Diceros bicornis minor: one gene and its partner. The protein of the gene in region 1 purifies or fractionates together with the protein of each later gene. This does not show direct contact. Links are inferred from orthologs where the notes say so. Each region holds a gene or a part of one and is shown on either strand. Other genes may lie near its edges.

Region 1 (7,183 bases):
GCACAGGAAAGACCTAAGGACTCTCAAATTTTGGGGTTTCAGGACCCCTTTACACTCGTAAAACTATTGAGGACTCCAAAGAGCTTTTATTTATGTGGATTATATCTTTTGATATTTACCATATTAGAAATTAAAACAGAAAAACTTTAAACACTTATCAGTACATTTAAAAACAAACCCATTATATGTTAACATAAATAACATTTTCAATTAAAAATGACTATTTTTCCCCAAAATAGTGAGAAGAGTAATACTGTTTTACATTTTCTCAAATCTTTTATGTCTAGCTTAATGAAGGCAGTCACATTCTCATAGCTGTTTCTGCATTCAGTCTGTTGCTATATGTTGTTTTGGTTAAGTTTATAACAAAGATCTTGCCTCACACAGTAGGAAAAGGGAGAAATATTCTATAAACCTTTTCAGATAACTGTTTATATTGACAAAATACTAAAACTCAACAAATGGCAGTTTCTTAAAGGATAATTGCATCTTGGGATCTGAAACCATATCAATGAACTTTTCGTACTTCGTGACATTAAAATCTACTGGTGTATCTTACATTTTGAAAGGTTCTTTTCACCCACGGTGATTTTAAAACGTCATGCATTGGTCATTGGGAAAATAGAGATTTAGTGAGTTATGCCAATCTTCCAAATGTTGATACATTTCATTATACAATATTTTTAAAAAATCACAGTCATTAATTAACACCGATATTATAAGAAAAATCTTTCAAATGCTATAAAGCTGTCAAACTTGAGATGTCAACTTTTTAAAAATTCTCATTTTCACTCTCAAATTTTTATCATTGGTAACAAATACCGTCAAGTGTTTTCCTCAAAGTGATAAGCTCACTTTATTTATTTTCAAGAAAACACGCGCCAAACACTCAAGTGTGAAAAACTGTCGTTTGTCATTCTTTCAAGTAAAAACGCTGTTCCACGAAATGAGCAGCTTTCAACTCAATCTCCTAAGTGCTTTTCCTTATGACAAGGCTCATATCTGAGTAGGCAGCATTAGGCGCTTTATGCCTACTTCCCATTTGGTCACAGATTCTTAAAAATTAGAGACACGTACTCAAGGGCTGAGATTTAATAAAATCAATCATTTTTTACTGCTTTATCAACAACATTCTCAAGTAACTAATAACAGAGTTTCATGCAACTGCCTTGCTTTGTGCTAAAGCGCCACCAGTAGTTTCACCCAGCACTGCTTTAGGACTATCAGTGCAAACAACAGTGATAAAAATAAATAGCATCTTATATGACCTCGTGGCTCCTCTGAAAAGGTCTAAGGGGATCTCCAGGGGTCAGTGGACCACACTTTGAGAACTGCTTTCCTAGATTATACCATTGGTTCAAAGTGAGTGTAGAAACTCTAATAAAATCCTGTGCATCTCGACTCTTCATTTTGTCAGTTCCTTTACTTTAAGATATACCAACATCACAGCTGGTATAACCGTAATACAGAAAAAGGGAAGGAAATAGAGGGCACAGATTGAATTTCATTGTTTTAAGATTATGTTTTGAGCACTTCTATGCTAAACTAATAATTCTCAACGAAGGACTGCAGGTTAAATGTAGAGAAGATGACACCCCCCTCCCCATCTCACCCAAAGAGACTTGGGGATGAGGCCCTCACAACCGCACTTCCAGCAATCTACAAGGTATTTTTTATGCACCCCTAAGTTAAGAACGATTGTGAACACCTCGAATTCAGAGTCCAACTACCAGTCCCAAGAGCAACGGATTCCAAATTCAGTGTCATTCGCCAAGAAGCAACCCTCCCCGCCCCCGTCCTTTCCCTTTCATCTACATGGGAAAATTCCTTAGAAAGTAAAACTCCGTTTCTGTGGGGTTTTGAGCTGCGGTGGGAGGTGTCTTTTTAAAAGAATGTAAAGGGCTGGGCTCCAGTCTGCAACACGAAGACAGCTATTCTGAGATAGTACAACTTATCTCGATTTCCATCTGGAAAACGAGACTGGGCTAAACAACTTAGAAGACTCTTTTCAGCTCTACCCTTTTCTGAGCTAAGAATGTCCAATATAAGAGAGCTGAGAAACGTCCAGCGTTATCAACAGTTTGAGAGAATCCCGCCTCTAACGGGAGAGGAAATCAGGACAACTCGCAGAAAAGAGGGACCGCAGGTGGATCAGCGACGTCACTCCTTTTCAGTAGGTGCTAAGATTCCAGAAAATAGTCCCTGGGATAAACATGGCGCCCACCGCGGCAGGATATAACCATCAGAAAATAAAAATTCTCTACCCCATCCCATTTTATAAATCACGGCGCCATCCCAAAGAAATTTTAGGGCCGAGGGAGGAGACTTTGTAAACTAACTGCAGTGCACTAAAGCTTGGGATGTGCGATTGGTCCGAGCGGGGATTACATAACGCAGGGGAGCGGCTCACCAATCACTCATTTTGCTGCTCACGCTCAAAAAGAGCGCCCCACTCCTTCCCCGGCGGGGGTGAGGCGGCAGGGCCGCGCACTACACCTCCGTCGGGGGACGTGACCCCGCCCCCCTCCCCGCGCGCGGCCTCGCCCCCTCGCCCGCCCCTCCTGCCGCGCCCGCTGCCTCGCCGCCGCCCGCGCCCCCGCCCCTTCCCCAGCGGGCCGCCGCCGCCCGCGCCCGCGCCCGCCCACTCCTCCGAGACGCCTCGCGCCGGGCGTGCGTGTGGACGTCGTGTGTGTGGGGCCGTGGGGCCCGAGTGCGCGCGCGCGCGCGCCGCGGCGGGCGCCGGGGGGCGGGGGTGGCCGGCAGGGGCCTCCCCGGCCGGCCCGCCGCGCACCTCCCGCAGCTCCCGGGGCGCACACGCACACACACACGCGCTCCCGCGCCGCACCCCACGCCCGCCGCCGCCGCGGGCCGCGCCGCCACTCGCGGGGGGCGGAGGGGCGCGCCACCGGGCCCCCGCCCCCACCCCTCGTACCCGCCCCATCCCCCTCTCATTGTCTCGCCTCGGAACGCCTCGCCGAGCGAAAAGATAACGGAACCCCCGGGAACAGGGGGTGGGGAGAGAGAAGGCTCGCTCGCTCACTCACCTCCCGTGGTCGTCGCCGCCGGTAGTCTGACCCGAGGAAGGCGCCGTCGCCTTAAAGGGACCTTGCACCCGGCGCCGGGAGAAGGGGGTGGGAGCAGGGGAGGGGACGGGGGCTTGGGGGTAGACGGAGAAGAGGGAACCGTTGAAAGCTCGTCTCCCGGAGGGTGAAAGGAAACCTCCCTCAGGTTCGAGTGACTTGGGGTGGATTTTTTTCCCGAGGGGGGCGGGGGGGGGGCCCCGAGGGAGGGGGGTGGGGGGGCCAAGGAATGCGGCTCCGTGTACGGGAGCTGGCGCGGGGGAGAGAGACGCCGACTCCCCCCACCGACCCTCTCGCCCCGCGGAGGGATACGGCTCGTCACTTCCGCCCTCCCCCTTTCGTGGCCTTTCAATTGGTTGAAGCGCATGACACGTCATGGGCTCATCCTAACCCCTGCCCGGGCTTCTTTTCTAGTCAAGTTTGTCTGGGGCTGCGAATAAATAAATAAATAAAAACATTTTTTTAAATGAAATAAAGAATAATTAGCTTCAGAAACAATATCTAGGTTTGGGTGAGAAAAATGGAATTTCTAAAGAAAATATTCCCCAATTCACTTGCCTGGACTTTCCAGGAAATTTTGGGAATCTCCCCACTTTCCACTCAAAGCAAGAGGGGAACTTCATGCCACAGGCCAGATGGTGAGGCCCAATGGCACCAAGAACTGTCATTGGAACAAAGGCAGCAAAATGGCACTCACTTTTCCTCAAGAGACATTCAACCAAGTAGTCTTATGGCAGTAGCCTTAAGTGAAGAAATTTTAAAAACCATTTTTACCCTGAACCTTTCTGGATTCTGGAAAGAAGTCACACATGATTGCTTATCAAGGTGATTCATGTATGTAAACTGCTTTGAAACCATGGTAAATAGACTCAGCCAAGATGCTCAGTTCTAAGAAACTGTAGACTCCACATCTGTGCTTTTTGCTCCAATCAAGGCTGAGACGGATTGGTCCAAAGAAATTGATTAGTCTAGTCAAGACCATCCACCTGTTGTTTTTCTCCAAACAAAAACTAACCTCGTTTCCGGATAGCTAAGAGATTTTGTCATTTATTACCTCCCCAGATGATGGTAAAATTTTAATATTTTCCTTGGTTATTTGAGGATGTTGTTGCTCTTTAAGCAATACACAAATATTTGCTCCAAACCAAGTGCTAAATGTTGGTGCAACATTGGGGAGATCCAGAACCATATTTATTCCTTCTCTTTACATACACACTCTATTCAAACATCAGACTACAAAAATAGGCAGTGGAAGTAGGCATTCCAAATTATGCACCATGCACATGGCTGCACGTGCCACCACCCATTTTCTTTCCACTTCATACCAAAAACATGTGAGTGATTTCAACTAGTCATTCTTAGAAAGAACTTCATTATTTGAATTGAAAGAATCACTAAACCTCTGAAGCCTTTCCAGACCTGGTCTGGAAAAGCCCATAGTGGGATTATGGAATCAATCACCAAAAGACAAATTCTATATGAAGTTGTAATCCTATTTTATGCTTTCCTACAATAATTATTATAATTCATTACAACATAATTTGCCTCTGAAATATTCTTGTTGAAACATATTTTGCCATGCCCTAAGTGCCAGCTCGTGCTATCTGCCAATGACATCTAGGCCAGCAGACTGTACCATGTACTGTTGGCCAATAACCATTAGCATACCATATTGAAAATGCATCATTCATTCAACAAATATTTACTGAGTACTTGCTATATGCCAGGCACTGTTCTCAGTGCTGGGAATACAGCAACAAAGAAAACAAACAAAATCCCTGAACTCATGAAGCTTATACTGTAGTGGGGAGAGACATACAATATACACATAAACAAATTATTCCAATATCTACAGTTGAATAACAAATGGTCCCAAAACCTAGTGGCTTAGAACAACAACAATTTTATTATTATCTCTCATGGTTCTGGGAGATGATTAGGCTAAGCTAAGCGGTTCTCACTTGGAGTCTCACGCAGTGGCTGGGGCTGAAGTCAACTCAAAAGCTTCCTCAAAAGTCTGGAAGTTGATGATGACTGTTGGCTTGGACTGCAGCTGGTGCTGTTGGCCAGAACAGCTGGCTGTTGGCCTCTCCATGTGCCTGGGCTTCCTCATATCATAGTGGTTGAGTTCCAAGATTGAGTGCCCCACGAGGACCAGGCAGTGGTTGTATGGCTTTTTGTGACCTAGCCTCAGAGGTCACATAGCATCACTTCCACTATCGTTACAGGCTCACCTCGACTCAAGGCGAGTGGGGAACATCTCTCAAAGGGAGTAGTAGAAACATCACATTGTAAGAAAAGTATTTGGAATGGGAATGTTATATATTAATAAATATATAATATGTGATATGGTGATAGGTGCTATGGATGGGGAAAAGGGCAAGATGGGGGAATTGGGAGTGTGGTGTGGGGGTGGGGAGGTGTTATTTTTTGTGGGGTGATTGGAGATGCTTTGTCATTAAGGTGACATTTGAGCACAGACCTGAAGAAAGTGAAGCCAAGTTCAGGTTTTACTCTTAGTGCAAGTGAAGTCGTTGGAAGATTTTAAGCCAAGGAGTGATATGACTTGGCTAACATGTTTAAGGAACACTCTGGCTGCTTATAGAGAATTCCTTGTAGAGACGAGAGTGAAAGCAGGGAGACGAGTTAGGAGGCTCTTGCAATAATCCAGATGAGAGGTGATGGTGGCCTGGACCAGGGTGGGAGCTGTGGAGCTGCTACTTCAGCTGAGTGAGTTCCGTGGTGTGTTGTTTACTTCTCTGTGACTTATTTTTCTATTATTTAGTTTTGGCCATGGGAGACAGTTTTGACCCATAATGGCTAGCAAAATGTGTATGAGGGATAGTGCTGTGCCTACCACAGAGAAATAAAGTTAGAATATTGTGCTGAATGTTAACATAGGAGTTTTGTGGGGGCTGGAGGCACCCTTGAGTAAAGAATTCAGAAAACAAGAGTAAGGATCAACAATCAGGGAATGGAGTAAGCTCTTTGACATTATAAAAGGTATCCAAACTGCCACCGTCTGGGAGGATCAATCAACAGTTGAATGACTGATAGCTGGAAGAAATCAAGGGTAGAGACATTTTATAACTTCAGAGGATTTGAAGAAAATTCTACCACCTTGCAACACTGGAGCAGCATCTCAAAAAAGACTATAGTGTTAGCGCTCCCATTTCCAGGAACGTATTCCCCGTGCTAAAGAGGGAACGTCCATATTAATCTGAGCAGTGTTGGAACATTTTGCTATCGTCAGCTAACACACAAGTTTCTGGAGTGAAGCAGTAGAACTGATAGCTGTGGTTTCTCTTATACTTGAACCATCTTGATAATGATGGGAAACAAAGCAGCAGAACAAATAACCTGGGTCGAATCCTTAGAAATCAGTTCACATGTGCCTCTGTGACATATTGGGGCGAGGTCTGAAAGCCAATCTAGTTGGGTATATTGAAGAAATTGAACCCTAATACTGCTGCTAAAAAGCTACGCCAGTCTTCAGTAGCCAACTTAGAAAAAAGGAATCCTCTCCGTATGGGTTTCTAGGAAGGAAGGTCAAAAGTTAATGGAAGTCCCAAGTTATGCATTTCACAGTTAGGTAGCAGAAGAGTATTTCTTTTCTACAGTCTATGGGAACACTTATTTGCTTCCTTGGCTTATGGTTTCTGCCATGAGTTGAAAATTGGAACCACCTGTAGCTTGGACAGTGTCAAGGCAGAGAGACAAATGATTTCAGCATGTCTTCAAAAGCAGTGAGCCATGGGTGCCTCTCTGCTGTCATTTTGCTACTATACAGACCCAATCACTGACTGCTCAGGTTCAGTGTGAGGCTAACCAGTACGTGTTGAGGTGGGGAGTAGAGAGGATTGTGAGGTCAGTCCAGGCAGAAAGCAGCTTTGTGGGGGACAATGCCAGATTTCTTTAAAAACAAGCATCCTGCTCTACAACACACACTCAGGGTGGTTCAAACCAGGAGCTCAAAGGGAGCTACTCATTTTGGAAGATTTTTTTTTTGTGTGTGAGGAAGATGGGCCCTGCGCTAACATCTGCCAATCCTCCTCTTTTTTTTTTTTTTTTTCGCTGAGGAAGACTGACCCTGGGCTAACATC
Region 2 (7,529 bases), on another chromosome or scaffold:
ACAGGCCTAGAGGCTGTAGCCATCTGGGCCCCAGTACGTCTCCCCCATCAGACTAGGACCCACCCCCTCAAGGCCTGGTCGGACTCACCTTAGGGTCCCCAACACTGCCTAGCACAGGACGTGTGGGTTAAATGAACAAGGGTGGCCCCAAGGCCCTCATCTCCCTGCTCCAGGCCCTTACCTCTGCTCTTCTCCCACCTGGGGCGACCTTTTCCTTCTCTATTAGCAAACTCCTGCTCCTCTTTAAGGCCCCAGCTCACACAACACCTCCTCTGTGAGGCCCTCCCTGACTTCCCAGGTGGATGGTGTCTCTCTCCTCTGGGGTCCCCCTGCCCTTGCCCCCCCTACACCCTGATCACCTGGGCAGTAACCCTCTGGGTCTGGAGACTCCTGGAAGGCAGGACCTAAATCTGACCCATCTCTGTGTTCCCAGAGATGCTGAGCATAAGTCAGCCTCAGGAGACCTTTGCTGAATGGCTGCAAAACACAGAGGAAATATCTCTGGCCTTGGGCTAGGGGCCCCATCCCTCTTTCTCCTCTGACCTCTGACTTCACACCACCCACCCTCCAGGGTCTTCAATGCCCTCTATGACTTCACGCAGTTGGCCTGTGAAAGGCAATGAGGTCGTCGTCCACAGTGACCAGTCCTTCATGTCCACCATGACTTCCAGGACGACCAGCCCTTCTGTGCCCACCATGCCTTCTCCAGCTACAAGATCCTCAAAGCCCAGCATGTCTCCAGCGTCCACTGGACCCTCCATGCCCACAGCGTCTCCCAAGCCTCCCGCCTCCTTGAAGACCACCAAAGCAGAGATGCCCAACAGCTCCTCAGTGCCCACCAAGCCACTGACAGCCCCCAACTTGCTCACGAGCCCGAGCAGTTCCAAGTCTACCAAAGGGGCAGGTACAAAGCCAGCCCCTTCTAACCAGCCCAGCAGCAAGTCCCGAGTCCACAGCAGGGCAAGAACATCCAGCAAGGCCAGCACTGATACCAGGGCCAGCACTGACACCAGGGCCAGCAAACTGAGCAAGGCCAGTGGAGTAAGACACCACCGGCGGAGGGGCACGCAGAGCCGGGGCAGAACTCCTGCCAGAAGGGGAAGCCACAGCTCCAAGAGGTCACCCAGTAGGGCCAGCACTCCCAGGAGGATGAGAACTCATGGTGCCAGACCCAGCAGGATGAGAACTCCTACTTCCCAGCAAAAACAGAATAGAGGGAAGAGTTACAGCCGGCCTAGAACTGGCAACCAGGAAAGGAGTGAGAGCCAGCCTAGAGATATGAGCAGAGAGAAGAACTACAGCCCACCAGGAGCCACGAGTATGGAGAAGAGTTCCAGGCTGGCTGTAACCAGCAGTACAGCAAAGAGTTCCAGCTCCACTAGAACTCTCGTCAAGGAGAAGGGTTCCAGCCAGTCTCCATCATCATCGAGGGTAAAGAGTTACAGTCAGATGATCAGCCCCAGCAGGGAACGGAGTTCCAGCCCCACTGAAGTGTCCAGCAGGGTCCAGAGTTACAACCAGGGTAGTGCCCCCACCAGGACCCGAAGTCACGGCCTGTCTGGCGCCCCCAGCAGGACCCAAAGTCACAGCCAGTCTAGCGCCCCCAGCAGAACCAAAAGTCACAGCCGGTCTAGCACCCCCAGCAGGACCCGAAGTCACAGCCTGTCTGGCACCCCCAACAGGACCCGAAGTCACAGCCTGTCTGGCGCCCCCATCAGGACCCCAAGTCACAGCCGGTCTAGTACCCCCAGGACTCGAAGTCACAGCCAGTCTAGTGTCCCCAGGACCCGAAGTCATAGCCGGTCTAGCACCCCCATCAGGACCCGACATCACAGCCGGTCTAGCACCCCCAGCAGGACCCAACGTCATAGCCGGTCCAGTGCCCCCAGGACGCAAAGTCGTAGTGCGTCCAGCACCCCTGTCAGGACCCGAAGTCATAGCCGGTCTAGCACCCCCAGGACCCAAAGTCACAGCCAGTCTAGAACACCCAGAAGGGCAAGAAGTCGCAGTCGGAAGAGGGCCCACAGCAGGATGAGAAGTCACAGTTGGAACAGAAATCATAGTAGGGCAAGAAGTCGTACCTGGAAGGGAAGTCCCAGCCAGATGAGAAAACATAGCCAGTCTAGAACCTGCAGCAAGGGGAAAAGTTATAACCAATCTAGAACCCCCAGAAGGGAAAGAAGTCACAGCCAGTCTAGAAGCCCCAGCAAGGAGAGAGATCACAGACAATCTAGAAGCCCCAGCAAGGAGAGGCGTCACAGACAATCTAGAACCCTCAGCAAGAAGAGAGGTCGCAGACAATCTACAACCCCCAGCAGGGAGAAAGATCAGAGCCAATCTGGAACCTCCAGCAAGGAAAGAGATCACAGCCGATCTAGAACTCCCAGAAAAGAGCGTTATCACAGCCGATCTAGAACCCCCAGCAAGGAAAGAGATCACAGCCGATCTAGAACTCCCAGAAAAGAGAGCTATCACAGCCGATCTAGAACCTCCAGCAAGGAAAGAGATCACAGCCGATCTAGAGCTCCCAGAAAAAAGAGTTATCACAGCCAATCTAGAACCCCCAGCAAGGAAAGAGATCACAGCCAATCTAGAACTCCCAGAAAAGAGAGCTATCACAGCCAATCTAGAACCCCCAGCAAGGAAAGAGATCACAGCCAATCTAGAACTCCCAGAAAAGAGAGCTATTACAGCCAATCTAGAACCTCCACAAAAGAGAGGCATCACAGACGATCTAGAACCTCTAGCAAGAAAGACCACAGCCGATCTAGAACCCCCAGCAAGGAGAGCAATCCCAGCCAATCTACAACCCCCAGAAGTCTCAACCGGAAGGGATCCTCCAGCAGGGCACAGAGTCCCAATCAGAATAAAATACCTACCGAGACAAAGAGCCACTCCCCCTCAAGATTTCTTAGTGGAGCCCCAATCCCAAGCCACGACAATGTTCAAGCCAACACCACCACCTCTAAGGCCACCTCACCTGGAGAGAGGTCCTCATCATCTTCTTCCAAGCTGGCGTAGCCCCCAGTCTCAGCTGGCTCACGGGTCTCTGTCATGGCCAGGGGAGGGGACAGGAGACAGGAGCAGAGCAGCAGCTGGGCAGTGTCCCTCCCTGGCCAGCTCTCCACAGCCACAAGTTCTCTAATGCAGGATGTCGGCAGGTAGAGAGGGATGCTGGATAGGGGAAGGAAAAGCCTGTGGTGACTCAATAAATTTTTACATAGCATCTGCCTCCCCAGCTGCATGTTCAGTGCTGGGGACAAGGCAAAGAAGGCCCCAGCTCTGTCCCTGACAGCCTACGGGGCCTTGGCTACAGGCCTCGCCGCTCTGGAGGCCTTAATTTCCCCATCTGGGCAACAAAACTGTCTGTGGTTCTTATTCGATGGGGTGAGGAAGGGTAACATTCCAAATATTTAACAGCAGGTACTAGCATGGGCACTAGTCAGAACTGAGAGCTGAACATGGTCCCATGCCAGGAATTAACCCTTTAGTTGCTGGACTATAGGAAAGTCTGAGGCTGGGGGAGGGTCCAAAGTGGAACCTGGGGGTAGGGATTACCTGGTGTAGTGGTGATATACCAACCAGTCTAGAAGAATTTCAATACTGAAACAACTGGTATGGCTGAACCAGTTTGTGAATGTCAGCTCTAGTTCTGTATCAATTTATACCTTGGCGAGATAGTGTCTAGGTTGGTTCATTTTTTTTTTTTTTTCTGGTGAGGAAGATTGGCCCTGAGCTAACATCTATTGCCAGTCTTCCCCTTTTTTTTGCTTGAGGAAGACTGGCCCTGAGCTAACACCTGTGCCAATCTTCCTCTACTTTGTATGTGGGTCACCGCCACAGCGGTGGTGTTGATAAGTGGTGTAGGTCTGTGCCCGGAATCCAAACCCGCAAACCCCGGGCCGCCGAAGCAGAGCGGCCTCAACCACTACGCCACTGGGCCGGCCCCGTGTCTAGGTTTGAATCCTAAATCTAGCCAGTTTCCTTCTCAGTACAAAAAGAGCTTCTGGGGCTTAACTCATGTACCCCTCATAACCATGCTGAGACAGATTATTATCTCCTTAGTACAGAGAAGGAGACTGAGGCACAAAGAGGATTAACAAGTAGCCCAAGGTTACACCAACTGGGAGCTGAGTGAACTGGGATTTGAAGCCATGTCATCCCACTTCTCATAAAATGATCCCTTTGCTGAAAAGAGTTTTTGAAGATTCAGTAGGCTCATTCGCATAAATTGCTGGTATGTGGCAGGCACTCCATTAACAGTGGCTGTTACTCCCATCCCCAAGCCTCTATAAACCCCACTCCAGCCATTCCAGACTTCTCCCCTCTCCCTGCGCATGCCAGGATTTTTCACATCTGTGGGTCTTAGCAAATCCCGCTGTTGCGTTCTAGAGCGTCCTCCTTTCCCCTTGTCTGCTTGGAGAACTCCTATTTACCCTTCAAAGCCCATCTTGAACACAAGAACCTCTGCACTTCTTCCCAATGCAAATACCACCCCTGCCTCTTCCAAGAAGCCTTCTCTGACTCCTCTCCTTCCTCTCCCTCTTCACCAATACCTCCCTACACACATACACAGACACAGACACAGACACAGAGCACTTCTTTTGTCTCTCACTGCACTTCCTAACAGTAGAGAGCCAGGCAGAGCAAGTCAGTGAAGGGGTTGGCAGCCTCAGCTGCACCTCTTATACACTACGGACGGCACTGGGCATACAATGCTGGAAAGTACACCATCCCTTCAAAGCCTGGAGGTCAAGTTTAATGCTGGGGACTAAAGAGAAAAAGATTAGGATTGAAGCCTGGAGGAGGCCGGGGGATGAGAGGGCTGCCATCAACGGCAGGGGAGCTTTCTAAAGACACCTGGATGGGCTTTCGGGACAGAGGATTTATAATTGGTAGGGGAGAGTTCTCATAACACCCTATTGCCTGTTCAGCCCCACTTACTTTGGCAATTCTATTTCACACCTCGATAAGCTTGCCAGATTTAGTAAATAAAAACAGACGACACCCAATTAAATTTGAATTTCGGATAAACAACAAAGGATTATTTAATATACATATGTTCCTTGCAACATTTGGGAGGTACATTTCTAAAAGATTATTTATCTATGTGAAATTCAACTTAACTGGCCGTTCTCTATTTTAACTGGCAACCACACACCAGGGGCAATCAGGACATCCCATGAGATTACCATGAGACATGGCTCACCAGTCCAGCCTACCCTGCCCCAAGCCCACATCCAGAGTCCCCTTCCAAGGCCCCTTCCAGAGTATTCCAGAGGTCAGGTGGAGCCATTCAGTAGCGCACAAGTCCCATTCCTACAATGACTATGGCGGCCAGACTGACTCCCACGATCTTAGAGGAGCATAAACGAGGCTCCCTCACTACCGTAAGGAAAACACAGCGCCCAAGAGACCCCACAATGTCCCAAGCCCATAGCAACCAACTCCCAGAAAGCTCTGCGCGAACATAATAGGCACGCGGTCCCACAATGCGAGGGCAAGGAGGCCAAAGCAAAACCCTATGAGGGGCAGTAAAGACCAGTCCCGACAAAGCTCTGCGGCAATTCTTCCCAGGATGCCTCGGGCCTATAATGACCACCCTCCAAGGTGCTCTGCATCGAAGCACTCTAAGCTTCGAGGATGCTCAGAGGAAGGGGTGTGACAAAAGGGACCGGTTCCCCACAAGGAGCTAAGATAATCCTTCCCCAATGCACCAGGCCCATAACGACTAGCGACCGACTCCCAGTGCTTTAGGGCGGGGAGTCCTGTTTTCCCAGGATGCCCAGGGCTGCACGGAGCCGCGTGGGGGGAGAAAAGGCAGCCCGGGCTCGCCCTCAGGCCATCACGGGCCAAGACCGCGGCCGGCTCCTCGGTGGCGGGAGCCGTCACTCCCATCATGCAGCGGTGCCGTAGCGCCCGCTTCCCAGCATGCCCCGCGCGCCTCCATCCCGGACACTCACCGGCGCCGACGGCCCCCGCTCCGGCTCGGCGGCGGCGGCTGCACGCCCGGGCTCTGCGCCTGCGCTGCTGGTGGGGTAGGAGGGAGTGCGGGGGGCGTGAAGAGCCTAGGGCGCTTGCGCGGAGAGATGGACCGTTCCTGTCTCACAGTGGGAAGGGGGGTCTCCGAGTCGGGCTCTCGACGAGGCCCGCGCAGGGGGTTTCGGGCTTTGCCCCCCGCTGTCCGGGTTTACTTGGTACAGTCCGCAGCCCGGCGGAACGAGAAACTGCAAGACTCGCGCGTGCGTGAGCGAGCAGGAACGCGCCTTGTAGAAAATGGGATGCGCTGGGGGTGGGGGGCGCCCGCTCTGCCTGGATCCTGGACCTGAGGCCTTCTCATTTGCATAATCTTCGCGCGGGACAATGGGAGGCCTCGGGCGCTGAAAGGGGTGATTTGCATATTCCCCGGAGAGGCCGTACTTCGGAGCGCAGTGATTAGCATATGTGGGGTGGGGGCGCCTGAGCAATGCGCGTGCGCACAGGGACTGCGGACTAGCGCGAAGCGGGGAGCCTTGTCTTAGGATCAGTTTGCATCCCGAGAGCGGCCACAAGGGCTAGGACCCTTACCAACCCTCACAACCCTCCCCGCTAGCCAGGATAAATATTTATTGCTCTCCTATGTGTCAGGCCTTGTGCTAGTGGGCACTATGGTTTCCGCAGTGAACAAGAGGCGCCCCAGTCAAAGGAAGGAGATCCACACATAATCAACCACAAGCCAGAGTGGTCAAAGTTGGGATGACTGGAGCATAGGAAGCTGTGGGAGCCAGAGGAGGCGCCTGCCCCAGCCTGGAAGGCTTCCAAGAGGTGGTGATCTTTAAGCCAAGGATGAATAGAAGCCAACTAGAGAGGGAGTCTTTCTGGCAGAGGAAACAGCAAGGGCAAAGGCCTAGAGGCAAAAAGAAAAATGCATGGTTTGAGGAAGTGAAAGCAGTTTAGTATGCCTGGAACAGAGAGGGGAAAGTCTTCTACAGGTGATGTTGAGCTCAGACTTCATGCTGAGAGTATAGAAAGGTATTGCAACATTCCAGGCTTCTAGGAAGTGACTCATGTTCCAGCTTAAAACTTGCTAATGAGATCTCATTACACTTAGAAAAAAATCTAAACTCTTTATCATGGTCCATGGGCTGTACACAGCGTCTCTGGCCCTGCTTATCTTTGACCTCACCCACTTCTCTCTCCTCTTTATCCACTCCTGTCTAGCTCCACTTCCCCTCAAACACCCCAGTCTCTTTACCATCTCAGGCCTTTGCCCATGCTGTTCCCTTTGCCTGAAAATGCTTTTCCCTCTGATCTTTGAATACTTGCTGTTGTGCTCCTCATTCCTATCTTGGCACAGATGTCAGTCTGACAGGTTTTCTGGATCTTTCTAACATAGCACCTCCAGATTTGCTTTCCAGAAGTGAGCAGGGTTGTGGATAAAGCAGGACTGGCTGTGAGTTGATGGTTGTTGAAGCTGCGGTGAAGGGTGCAGGGGACTTCATGTTCCTGTTCTGTCTACTTCTGTATGAAGTTTTCCAATAATAACAAGT

Evidence for each region.
Region 2: the proteins of POGZ (region 1) and ZNF428 purify together in Homo sapiens (affinity purification with mass spectrometry; 3 studies listed by BioGRID and IntAct, counting the BioPlex papers as one, with this or other methods). This does not show direct contact. The link is inferred for Diceros bicornis minor from reciprocal best matches to the Homo sapiens genes POGZ and ZNF428.

The regions. Positions count from the first base shown.
Region 1 is NC_080743.1:55,723,418-55,730,600, forward strand, and holds the start of POGZ (pogo transposable element with ZNF domain), read right to left. Parts: upstream 3,327-7,183; 5' UTR 3,045-3,326; intron 1-3,044. UniProt on the Homo sapiens protein: Plays a role in mitotic cell cycle progression and is involved in kinetochore assembly and mitotic sister chromatid cohesion.
Region 2 is NC_080773.1:18,217,573-18,225,101, forward strand, and holds the start of ZNF428 (zinc finger protein 428), read right to left. Parts: upstream 3,057-7,529; coding exon 2,981-3,056; coding exon of another isoform or gene 697-2,980; intron 1-696. Other genes in the region: SRRM5 (serine/arginine repetitive matrix protein 5), read left to right, coding at 697-3,021.